Bombyx mori: one gene and its partners. The protein of the gene in region 2 purifies or fractionates together with the protein of the main gene of each other region. This does not show direct contact. Links are inferred from orthologs where the notes say so. Each region holds a gene or a part of one and is shown on either strand. Other genes may lie near its edges.

Region 1 (4,141 bases), on a different chromosome or scaffold from region 2:
CCCATTACCCTGCCTATTTCTGCTGCAAAGCACTCATCGCAGTAGATTTATGGGTGGCAGAATGTAGGGTTAGCTCGCACGGGTAAGGGCCATTATTAAAATCTATTCCTGCCTCGAAGGTGTCATGTGTTCCAGTTTGAAGGGTGTGACAGCCATTATACAATACAAAGCAGACTTTGATACCTTAAGACTTATGTTTCTCTAGGTTGTTTCAGATTGTGATGTCTTTAACACTACTTAACACCAGGTGGGCCCTTAGCTGAATTTTTGGGTGGGTAGGTGTTACGTCTAGAATAGTCTAGATGTTACTTTTCATAACATCCATTAATAAGTTGGATCCAGTTTTATTACTGGTGGTAGGGCCTCTTGTGAGTCCGCGCGGGTAGGTACCACCACCCTGCCTATTTCTGCCGTGAAGCAGTAATGCGTTTCGGTTTGAAGGGTAGGGCAGCCGTTGTAACTATACTTGAGACCTTAGAACTTATATCTCAAGGTGGGTGGCGCATTTACGTTGTAGATGTCTATGGGCTCCAGTAACCACTTGACACCAGGTGGGCCGTGAGCTCGTCCACCCATCTAAGCAATAAATAAAAAAAAAAAATAAAAAAATTAATAGTATAAAAAATACTAATACATAATTACATAACAATATTTTTTTAAATCCCAAATTGAACGAAGTTAATTTAATTATAAAAAAATATATTAAATACATAAGTGGACCATTTATTTTGACTCTAATTGTACGATGGGCAGATGACCCCAAATCTTTTGTCGAAAGCTCACAACTCGTGCCGATTACTATACAGTATGCGCGCGAGTTCATGTACATCGGGGCCGGAGGCGACGCGCAGGGGGCAGCTCGCCCCGCCTCCCCGCGTTTGTTTGACGTCTAGTGTTGTCTTTGACAGTTGTGACGCGCGCTTATCGATACCAAAAACTTACGCTAACGCTATTGTGTTATTTCATGGTGAATAAACCACGAATACTCCGCTTCCAACAAGTTCAGGTAGAAAAAAACCTACACTGATTCGGACTCTGATCTGTTGGTTGTCTTTTCATCTCATAGTAGTTGAATTGGAATTTAAAAAATATTTTTCTCTATTAGGAAGAAATAAGTCATTACTTATCGCATTTATTTTATAATTTGCGAAGTGACCTGGTTACATTAAACCAAATTGACAGCTGTTGACTAAATCGGTAGTTATTATCGACATTACCATAATTAACTAGGTCACAGCACTACCGCATTCCTCAGGATGGACAAGCTCGCGCGTCTACTGTACATAAAATTTGAGAAAACGTTTTGATAGCAACGTTGGCAGCGCGTTGCCAACAAACTGACTTTAAAAGAAGCTGAGATAACAAAACGCATTTTTGACATATCGTTTTGATAGAAAACGTCCTGTCGTTCGATACCTACCTATAGAATCGAATGATGTGCGAGCCAGTGTTTTGTGATAAATACGAAAGAAGTATACAATAAATACATGTGCAACGATGTCCGAGATAGATATGGATAAGTTTGCTGTCCCAGACTTCGTCCCCGAACGTTACGTAAAAGACCTCGCTAGATCCTGCGTCGGAGGGGAGGAGCTACAGCAACAGAAGGAGAAAATACAAAATTTAGCCGAAGAAACCGCAAGTGCCCTAAAGAAAAATGTCTACGAGAATTATATGCAGTTTATCGAGACTGCGACGGAGATATCCCACCTCGAAACAGAAATGTACAAGCTATCGCATTTGTTAAGCGAACAGCGTTCTGTGCTGACTGTGCTCTCCCACGCCTCAATCCTCGGTAACGAGAACGGTTTATCACGCGAGTCTCTTGATAATCACGACGTCGAGGCTGAGAGGGCAGAAGAGGAACGAAAAAATAAATTAAATCTCATTACAGAAAAGGTAGAATCATGCATGAATCTGTTAGATGTCCCAGACCGAACTCTGCTTCATGAAGGTGACTTGCTAGAAATAGATGCAGAAGAAAATACTGCATTACAAAGAATGCATGTATATTTATTTAATGACTGCCTTATGTTAACATCCTGGATTTCTAACAGACGTGGTCCAATGAGATATAAGTTTCAAGTGAGTTACCCAATAAAGAATTTAGCAGTGGTGAATGTAAGAGATTTAGGAACTGTGAAACAAGCATTTAAAGTGTTAGCCTTCCCAGACACCAGAGTATTTCAATGCAATAGTTTTGCGATAAAAAAAGATTGGCTAGACAAATTTGAGATAGCAAAAAAACTGTATATTGAAAAAGAAAATTCTAAACAGAAGAAAAAAGATAGTCAAGAAAAATCAAAATCTGAATCTATTGAATCACCGAGTCTGTCTGTGGAAGAGATGCCATCACCCCAAATTACACCATTGCCTGAGTGGTTGGCTGATGTTACTGAAGAGCTTGATGTTTTGATTGTGGAGAGACATTTTCAAAAGACCTATGAGTTGATGGTTTCAGCTCAAAAAGCTTTAAATACTGAAGATTTTAAAAACCATCCACAAAGGGTTGATATATTGAAAAAAATAGAACAGAAGCAAAAGAGTTTAATTGAAATATTATTGAAAGATTTAGATGTAACACATAATTGGAGTTTGCGAGGAGGTCTCCAATCAACTAGACAACCGGTACTGATACTCAATAAGTTTAATATGACCAGTCAGGCTTGTGACTTGTTTTTGACGATATGCAGTTACACAGTCAAAGTTCATGTGAAAAGGGTGCAACTGGAAGGGTCAATTAACACTTATGTCAAACAAGTGGGTGAAGTGTTTTTTTGCTCATTGAGTGATGCCTTAACAGAGTTTATTTCACTATTTCCTAAAAATAAAATAAGTGCTTTTATAGTCTGGGCTAGTCTGCAACTTAGGATATTGATGAGTCAGATTATAAAACAAGTGTTCACACCTCAGTGTGCATTAGATTCCGTTCAGGATTGTGTTGAGAGTCTAAGGGAACAATGTACATTGTTTTGTCAATTTGGTTTAGATTTAAGATTCCAGTTGAACAGTTGTTTGAGAACACCAATAATAAAAGCTTTGAGAGAATATAAAGAGAAGACTGTTGACTCTATGAAAAATAAAATCACTGAAGACAAATGGACTCCAGTGAATATGCACACCAAAGCAGGTGTCAATAAATTCCTGAAACAAATGGAAACTTTGGGCCTTATATTAGCTAAGTATGTAATTAATGAAACATGGGTAGATTTATCAAGTAGTACCATATGGTTTACAAAGTCTATTGTCACTATACAGAAAATAGGTCTCCAGTTAGTGAACAAAGATATGATGGATAACCTTGATGAATACATTTATACAATATTCAATTCATGGCTTGTCCTCGCATCAGTCAACGATATTAGTTATGCAAAGAAGAATTTCAAATTCATTTTAGAAACAGTGATGCCTTTAATGCTTAGATGTTATAAAGAAGAAGTTGGCTATGATAATGAGAAATTAGTAGCTTTGGCAAAGAACTATGGTGTCAGTATTACACCATCCAAAAACATCACAAAATACACAAGTAATGAATATTTATGAGAATAGTCAATAGTCTATAAATAAGATGTATGAAATTATTTATATTATGCTGAAGCTTTAAATTTGTAATATAATAGAGAGTAAGCAAGCAGAATTATGTTAGTTTATATAAATACTGATCAAATTAAATTTTATGTATATGCAAGTTACGAATATTAAGTTTTAATACAATCATTATTTATGGTGATCTGTTTAAGTGTTCTTTGAAATTGTAAAGACAAGAATAAAATATATTTCCAGTATTATGATTTTTATTACTAGTGCAGTCAATTTTGCATGTTACAAAATATAACTAGAGAAATTATCATTTCTTCGCCCATATTTAACAGCAAATTGAAGCAATAAAATACATGAAGCAACTAAACCTAATTGTATTACAATTTAATTATTTACACATCTATAACAATAAAACAAACAGAGACTTATATTTAATGTGATATATTAAAAAAAGAATCTATATTTTAAATAATAATAATAATATTTACCAGAATAATATTTTTGGTGTATTCTAAATTTGTAAATACAGGAACTTTTTAAGCAAGAAATATCATAGAATACAGCAAATTATATGATACATTGTGTACATTTATCAGTTAAT
Region 2 (4,135 bases):
GAAATACCTAAGCAATTTACCATAAGTAAGTCGGTTTTGCACAGACATGTAACAAGAACGATGAAATCTCAAGGTGGACAAAAATGTGTAAGTAATACATAATAAAATATAATAATATTTGTTCAGAGTGGGGGTATCCACCTGATTAATTCATGGTATATCGGACACACCTAATCTCTTAACCCAGATAAAAATATCAGCCCCTGAGTACTTACTAAGAACAAAGAAATATAAACCGCTTATAAGAAAGCCCGCTCGTTCGAATTTAGGTGCTCACTCTCCCTTAAACAGAATCCTTTAGGACTACAATAATCTCCACGGTAGCGCGGTCTCCGTCAATGTTCATTCGGAGTTGTCCGATTGCGCTGAACTAATTTTAAGTGATGAAATAGATGTTTTTTCTAATTGTCTCACAACTTACAAGAAAAATCTGTCGCGGATAATTTCCCAAGTAAATATATATTAATCATAAGTAATTAAATGTAATCAAGTATTAGTTATATATTTTTATTTTTGTTGTCCATGCACTATCATGTACAACAAAATGTCCATGGACATTGAGAGAAAGTGAGAAAAAGAGGATAGATGCTCTCGAAATGTGGTGCTGGAGAAGAATGCTGCAAATATCGTGGACGGAGTTCAGAACGAATCAGTTAACTCTACAGGAACTCGGCATCAAGCAGCGACTATCCTCCATCGTTCAGGGTCACATTCTCACTTTCTTCGGGCATGCGTCGCGGCGGGGTGACGACTCAGTTGAGCGCCTTGTGGTGCAGGGCATGATAGAGGGTACAAGACCGCGCGGCAGATCACCGTTGTGATGGACCGACCAAATAAAGGCAGCTCTAAACGGTCCCGTTAACGAGTGCACAAGAAGGGCCGCGGTACGTGAGGAATGGCGACGTCTGGTGAAGCGCACCACCACCCGAAGTGATGACCACGACCACTCTGCTAAGAGTGCATGCGACTGATAATAAAATACCATTTTAAACATCAAGAACTACCTTAAAATTGTTCATCAAGTTGGAATTTGTCCCGAATCACCCCATTTTGCGGGTACCACAAATTAATATTAGTACAACTAATTTAATAATCTATGGTACATTATAAAGGACTTGGCTTCGGCTTTAGTGAAATTTTTATTTCAGGATATAATATAAATCATATAAGACCTGGCTTCGGCTTTTTTGAAAATTTATTTCAGAAATTATATAGAACAAATAAGGCGGTATGGGCTTAGATCCCCTTGCCTTTCCTAATAAGGAAATTGAACCAAAAAAAAAATCTATGGTACAATGGTAGGCGTTTGCATAGATAATACACTAAACAACGAAGTCAATTAAGTGTTTAATCTATGAACGAAGTCTCAAATATATTAAGTGTATAATCTATGGAACGAAGTGTTTGTATTCGTAAGGTTTTGGCCAGACACTTCAAAAAACTTCTAATTGGCGTAAAAACCTTAAAAAACGGTAGTGAAATTAAAATTGTATTTCAAGATGATGAACCAATATATGAGAGAATTAGAACAGGTACGTATTTGTTGATCTATAAACCAGTGTAACTAAATATTTATGTAGACAGTAGATATCAGTTTCTTTTTAATTTTTTATTTTCAGGATCCTTTTGATCCTGATGAATTTGTGGAGAGAATGGTGCGACGTAGCATGCAGGAATCCCGTCTCAAAGATGACCAGTTCGACCCCGAAATGATACATGATATATTTACACAAGCCATACAAGATTTAAAGGTGAGTTCTGTGATGATTCTGTGGAGTTATATCTAAATTTAATTATTCTTGTATATTATATTTGGGCTTGTTACTTTAATTGTTTAAATTTTTATTCCATGTTTAATTGCCTCAATGTTCAATTGATGCAGAAGTTAGTTAACTTAAGTCTGTTTTTTGTATCATTAAATGTTTTCAGAGATAATATGAATAGTGTTAATGAATGCCTTTTTAAAAAAATATCTAATTAATAGTTTCTTGGCTAGACTTTCTTAAAAAAATATAAATAAAGCTTTACATTGCCCATTTCAATTGTCTTCTTTAATTTTCTCAAATAATTAATAAGGTTAAAATATTTAAAAAAATGCTAAGTAAAAATGATTCTAAAGTCTTAACTTCTCAAACTACTTTGGGGAGAGTTACTTGTGGAGGGTTCATCACTTGCATCCTTGGATTCGTGGTAGGAGAGAAATTTATTTAATTGTTCTTAGTGGCACCAAATACATATCGGTGCTTGAAAGGCAAACGTGACTAAGCAACAATAACTGCTGTGTGCATAAATGACAGGCAATAACCATATTCGATGCGAAAAAAATATATATTTCTAGGTCTATTAAAATCATTTCAATCCTACAGCTACTAGCTAGATTCTACTACAACTAGATTCATTAAAATAAATTTCAGGTATTTCAACTTTAAATTAGTCTACTGTAAAGTTCACGTATTGTCGCTTAGTCACGTTTGCCTTTCAAGCGTCGCGATTGCATTTGGTTACGAGCTATAATTTTGAGCTCTTGTTAAATTTTATTTTTATGGATAATAATACTAGCGCATTCTTATTTAGAATAAAAGGATGAGGTTTTTTATCTCTACGATCTGATTTAAATTATTATCAGGTTCTTCAAGAGAGGCAAGAAAGAAAATGTGCTAGACTGGAACAGGCAGTGCAGGAAGAAGAAAAACTATATGGTGCTAAGCTATCAGAAATTATGGATCAACACTTGGTATGTACTTAGTCATATTACAACTTACCATGTGTTGAACCCTAAAAAAAAACTGAAAACTAAATTATGATTCTCAGACAAACTCCTCCGAGATCGATTATGATGGCTACTGACAGTATTGCTTGTTATAAGAATCACTAGGTTTACATATCCCACACTGTAAATGTTGTTTGTATAATTTACCTGTAAAGGTGTTGTTTCCTTAAATTAATAAAGCTGCTGTATTTTTAAGCAGTTTACAATGATTGTGTTGTAAGTAAGTATATTCTAAGTTTATTCACGGCTTTAAGTGGATTTTTAAATCTGTCGATTATATTCTATTAAGTATTCCATCAAGATTTTTCCTGAATAACTGACTCAATTTCATATTCACTTACTGCAGTCATGATATCCATTTGTCTGAACATCTTTTTGTAAGGAAGTGTAACTATTCTTGACTCGTTAACGTATTAAACTACTTGTTGCATTCTACTTGAACACATATCTTGATGGCTTTGAATGATGTATTCCAATGATCATGCCACTTTATTTTCTATTTAATGAGATGTTATAAGTCCTACAGCATAAATTTATAACTTATTAAACATTTTATGGCTAATGAAAATAGATTCAACCAAAAACTGTTTAATAATAGGTTGGTAGGCTCGTCTGCCTACAAGGGCAACAAAAATAATAATTATATAATCATTTGTTCAATGATAAAATAACTTTTCTTTGAATTGTGAAAGTTAAAAAAGAAATAATAATTGTACAACATTCTTAATTTCCTTACAGCATTGTGTGGGGGTGTTTAGTTCATTGGACGAACGTATGTCTCGTTGTGGCGGACGTGCGCTAAACGTAGGGGAAAAATTGGGAGCGGCACGAGCACCAAGAGCCAGAGCTGCAGCAGCAAGGGACCTTCTTTCACATTTAACACATTTCCTAAGCCCGGGTCCAGTTATAGTGGATCTATTTAGTGATCCCAACAAGGTAGTTCCTCTCGATCTGTTAATCTTTTTAAAGCCAATACAGATAGCCTAATTCAGTAACATTGTCACTAACAACGAAGGTCAAAGACATTGCACATGTGTTCTTCTTCATTATGCAACTACCGTTTTGTGCATGCAGTGCATGACTTTAGCAAGAACTAGGAAATTATTAATTGTGATATTTTTTGAAAAGAACTATTCCATCTACAATTATTAAACTCCGGTCAATTTTTCCTGTGCAATAGGTATTGAACTTCACAATTAAAATTAAATATTATCTAAATAAATACTACATTTTTTAAGCCTTGAAGTAATGTGAAAACAAGATTAAAATATAAAACTATAGGTATTGCTGTATAAATTATACAAGAGAGGTATACTAAATATTACAGTATCCTTTTATTTGATTACAGCTCAATGAAGCAGCAGA
Region 3 (3,656 bases), on a different chromosome or scaffold from region 2:
TGCACATAAAGTGATGTCAAGATACTATCACTACAATCTAGGAGAATGAGGCAAGATATTCCACCATGCCTATTGTGTCTCAAGCGACGGTTTGTGATCTTTAACCGATCGACACAAAGCGGTCCGCAAGCCCGTCTACCGATCTCTTCTAATACAAAGTTACTGTCGCATAACGTAGCTTTTGAGATCTTAGTCTGGCAACATGGTCTTAATAAAAAAAAAAGACTTGTCAAAAATACGTGAAACGAACCGGTCGTAGCATTTTAGTTTTACTTAAGTATTGTAAATGTAGTAAATACACGGTTATATGGATGAAAATGTCGTATTAATCGATAACAAGTATTTTCCCTCAAGATCGCAAGATCAATTTAAACGGTAGGCAGCGGCCTGGCTCCGCCCCTGGCATTGCTGAGGTCCATGGGCAACGGTAACCACTCACCATCAGGTGGGCCGTATGCTCGTCTGCCTACAAGGGCTATAAAAAAAAAAGATCCGTCACAGTTACTGAAAAGCTGTTGACCTGCAAGTTCTGGTCGATCATCTGGAAGATGATGACGGGCGCGTGCGTGTGGTACGCGTTGGAGTGCGGCTCCACGTCGGGCGCGCGGTTGGCGCTCCACTCGGCGCGCTCAGACTCCAATGTCTTCTCCATCCACTCCATATAGTTACTTTCCATTTTCTGTGCAGATATTCATTTAGTTTTTTAGATCAAATACAATAAGTGTGTGTGTTGGTGGTGTGATTTACTTAAGTTTCATTATTATTTTTTATTTATTGCTAACATGGGCGGACGAGTTTACGGCTCGCCTGGTGTTATGTGGCCATCCGAGCACACAGGCATGAAACCATGTTAATGTCACCACCTTTCTTGAGACATGAGTTCTAAGTCTCGGTTTCTACAGTGTAATGGTTGCCCCACCGTTCTAACCGAAACGCATTACTGCTTCTAGGCAGAAAAAGACACGATATCCTACCACCCGTAATAATAATATCATTCCTTCTATTTGATATTGTATTGCTCATTTATATCTTTATGTCAATTTTTATTATATCAAGGTTTGAAAGTGCATGAAATCCATGATTATGCCGTTGTGGCTGAGTAGCCGGTTGGTGTCCACTATACCAGTATTGATTGAGTTATGCAGTTATACGAGAATCTATGTCCTGGAGGTTTTTTTTTCTGACTAGATACGTAACATAGATTTCTGTTGCGCGATAATTTTTTGTAGCCTAAGTCCATTGTGACACATCGGTGAGGCGATTAAGTAAAAATGATTCAATTTATCCGCGGCTCAATGTGAACGCGGTCAGCATGCAGTGATGCTTTATGAGAATACTTCATGCAGTTAGCAACTAAATTTGTTGTCTATTTATTTGATGTTTTTTTTTCTACCTAAGCTGATGGTCTTGAGAGACCATTTCAGCGTAACCTTAACTAGTAGGTGAGCTCACGGGGCTCAAACTTGACGTCGTTGTTAACACTAACCCTAGCAAGAGCAGTGTTTCGCAGAATCTACCACCGGACCTACTGAGATCCGGCGCGAAACTCAGTGGGCTGTGTCTAATTTACTCGCCGAGCCCTTCGTCGCAAGCGACGGGTTCGACGAGAACGATGACCGGATTGATGATAGTTATTGCTCTTGTAGCAGATTCCTTGCCCTATACTATTTATGAGCCTCTTTTGCTACCAAAAGGCTTACCCGAAGATACTCGTCTTGAAGTCTTTGCATCACATCATCACTCAGCAAGGGAGGCAGCGTTGTCACATCTATTTTCAATTCTGGGCTGCCCATCAACTCATGTCCTGGGTACGTGTTTAGAACCCAAGATAATAGTGTAACATATTCATTGCCTTCGATGCCACTTTGTACTACGTCTTGTAACTAAAACATTATTATGATTTTGTACATCTCTTTGCTTCTAAAACTCGCTAAACTTCGTAAAATCAAGTATTTAGAAAACAGAAAAAAAGCACTTACACTGGCTGATAAACATGTGTGATACATGTTGACATAGTTAGTAACGATGTCATAATGTGGGGGGAAACAAGGCACGCACAAAGTTTTGACTACCCTCAAATCTTCTAAAATTAGTTGTCGCGTTAACTCTAAGTAGCGAACGAGCCATAGCTTGTTGTCTTCCCGCTCGTCCACACGAGTCCCTTCGATCCGTTGGGCTACAGCACATTCTAGCACTTCGAATGCTTTGTTTTTCCAATTTTTCGGTCGTCCCGGCGGTAGGAAGCCAGACTGTACTTGTTGCTGTCAAATACAATGGACCAAATGAACAGTATATAATGCACAGTAAATAGGATAACCAAATTTAAATAAGATTTATCTATTACTAAGAAAAAACATTCAAACAAACTTAATTCTTTTTAGGTCATCAGATCGACAGACGAGCTCGCGAACCATTTGATCAGTGTTTCAGTTGTCGTTAAAGTGAATTTCATTGGGACTAGAGGTCGAAGTTTCAATTAAAGTATCAATAATGGCTGTCCAACTCATAAAGCTCATTAACTTTCAAAGGCGGTTCAGCCCTTTCAGAAATTAGACAAAAACTAACCACCAATTAAGAAGAAGCCCGCCTTTGAATTTAGGTAAAGTGTAGAATAATAATATTGTATGAGATTCTTGAGATTGATTGAGATTCTTACATCTTGAAAACAAATATTTCGTGAATACGTATTATTTACATAGAATGAGCCGGTTCACAGGATTTAACTCAATTTAATTTAAAGTTAACTTACATATTACTTTGGAAAGTATGGTACCTGCCATATTCTAATGCCAGCATAGACACATTGTATGATACAAGTATACCAGGCATCTTATCACGACGACCCGGCTCATAGACTGTTATTTTAACATGTAAATAAGTTATTATATTCACCTCTAATGCCATTCGATCCCTTTTCTCTTCTCGTTCTATAATTCTCAATGCAGTCACGATAACAGTAGGCTCTTTCCTAACAGTATTCAGTGTTCTAGCTAAGATTAGTTTAATCTGTTTCTCCAGTAAGTTAGAAACTATTTCGACATCTTCAAAATATGCTTTCAACATAATTTTGTCATGAGATGATTGGTTGGGCAGTCTATGTAGCTCATGCAACAGATCATCTCTAGAATTTTCTAAGTCATTCAAACACTGTAAAAGAAACCCAAAGAAACATTTATGACTGTAACTAAGACATAAGTAAATTAATTAACAGAATAAAATCTGAAAAAGTAAGATCAGAATTTTTTTTTAACTAAAATGTTAAAATATAATTTACAACTGATTTATTTGAGAAAAAATTCTATATTATGAACATTTAAAATTATTATCTATCCAAAAAATTCATAAGATTATCTATATATGATCATAAAAATATGATGAAAAAATATGCATCATCTGGGTCATCATTGAATCATTAAATTCTTAGTGACAAAACTCTTAAATATTGGTAACTAAAGGTGAAGCCTTTTAACTAAAGGTGGGTGGCGGCATTCTCGTTATGTTATCCATAAGCTCCGATAATCATTTAAAATCAGATGAGCCGTGAGCTCTTACACCCATCTAAGCAATAAAAAAATAATGACAATAATTCATAAAAGCCAGTAGTTTATAAGTGAGGGTACTTATTCTCTTTTTCATAAAAGTATTACTAAGTGCAG

Evidence for each region.
Region 1: the proteins of exocyst complex component 5 (region 2) and exocyst complex component 8 purify together in Homo sapiens (affinity purification with mass spectrometry; 5 studies listed by BioGRID and IntAct, counting the BioPlex papers as one, with this or other methods). This does not show direct contact. The link is inferred for Bombyx mori from reciprocal best matches to the Homo sapiens genes EXOC5 and EXOC8.
Region 3: the proteins of exocyst complex component 5 (region 2) and exocyst complex component 3 purify together in Homo sapiens (affinity purification with mass spectrometry; 7 studies listed by BioGRID and IntAct, counting the BioPlex papers as one, with this or other methods). This does not show direct contact. The link is inferred for Bombyx mori from reciprocal best matches to the Homo sapiens genes EXOC5 and EXOC3.

Annotation. Positions count from the first base shown.
Region 1 is NC_085122.1:6,419,487-6,423,627, reverse strand, and holds exocyst complex component 8, read left to right. Parts: upstream 1-1,238; 5' UTR 1,239-1,497; coding exon 1,498-3,543; 3' UTR 3,544-3,785; downstream 3,786-4,141. UniProt on the Homo sapiens protein: Component of the exocyst complex involved in the docking of exocytic vesicles with fusion sites on the plasma membrane.
Region 2 is NC_085131.1:6,373,139-6,377,273, reverse strand, and holds the start of exocyst complex component 5, read left to right. Parts: upstream 1-1,288; 5' UTR 1,289-1,499; coding exon 1,500-1,532; intron 1,533-1,619; coding exon 1,620-1,751; intron 1,752-2,626; coding exon 2,627-2,734; intron 2,735-3,508; coding exon 3,509-3,706; intron 3,707-4,118; coding exon 4,119-4,135. UniProt on the Homo sapiens protein: Component of the exocyst complex involved in the docking of exocytic vesicles with fusion sites on the plasma membrane.
Region 3 is NC_085118.1:10,556,000-10,559,655, forward strand, and holds part of exocyst complex component 3, read right to left. Parts: intron 3,148-3,656; coding exon 2,893-3,147; intron 2,262-2,892; coding exon 1,980-2,261; intron 1,884-1,979; coding exon 1,701-1,883; intron 680-1,700; coding exon 521-679; intron 1-520. UniProt on the Homo sapiens protein: Component of the exocyst complex involved in the docking of exocytic vesicles with fusion sites on the plasma membrane.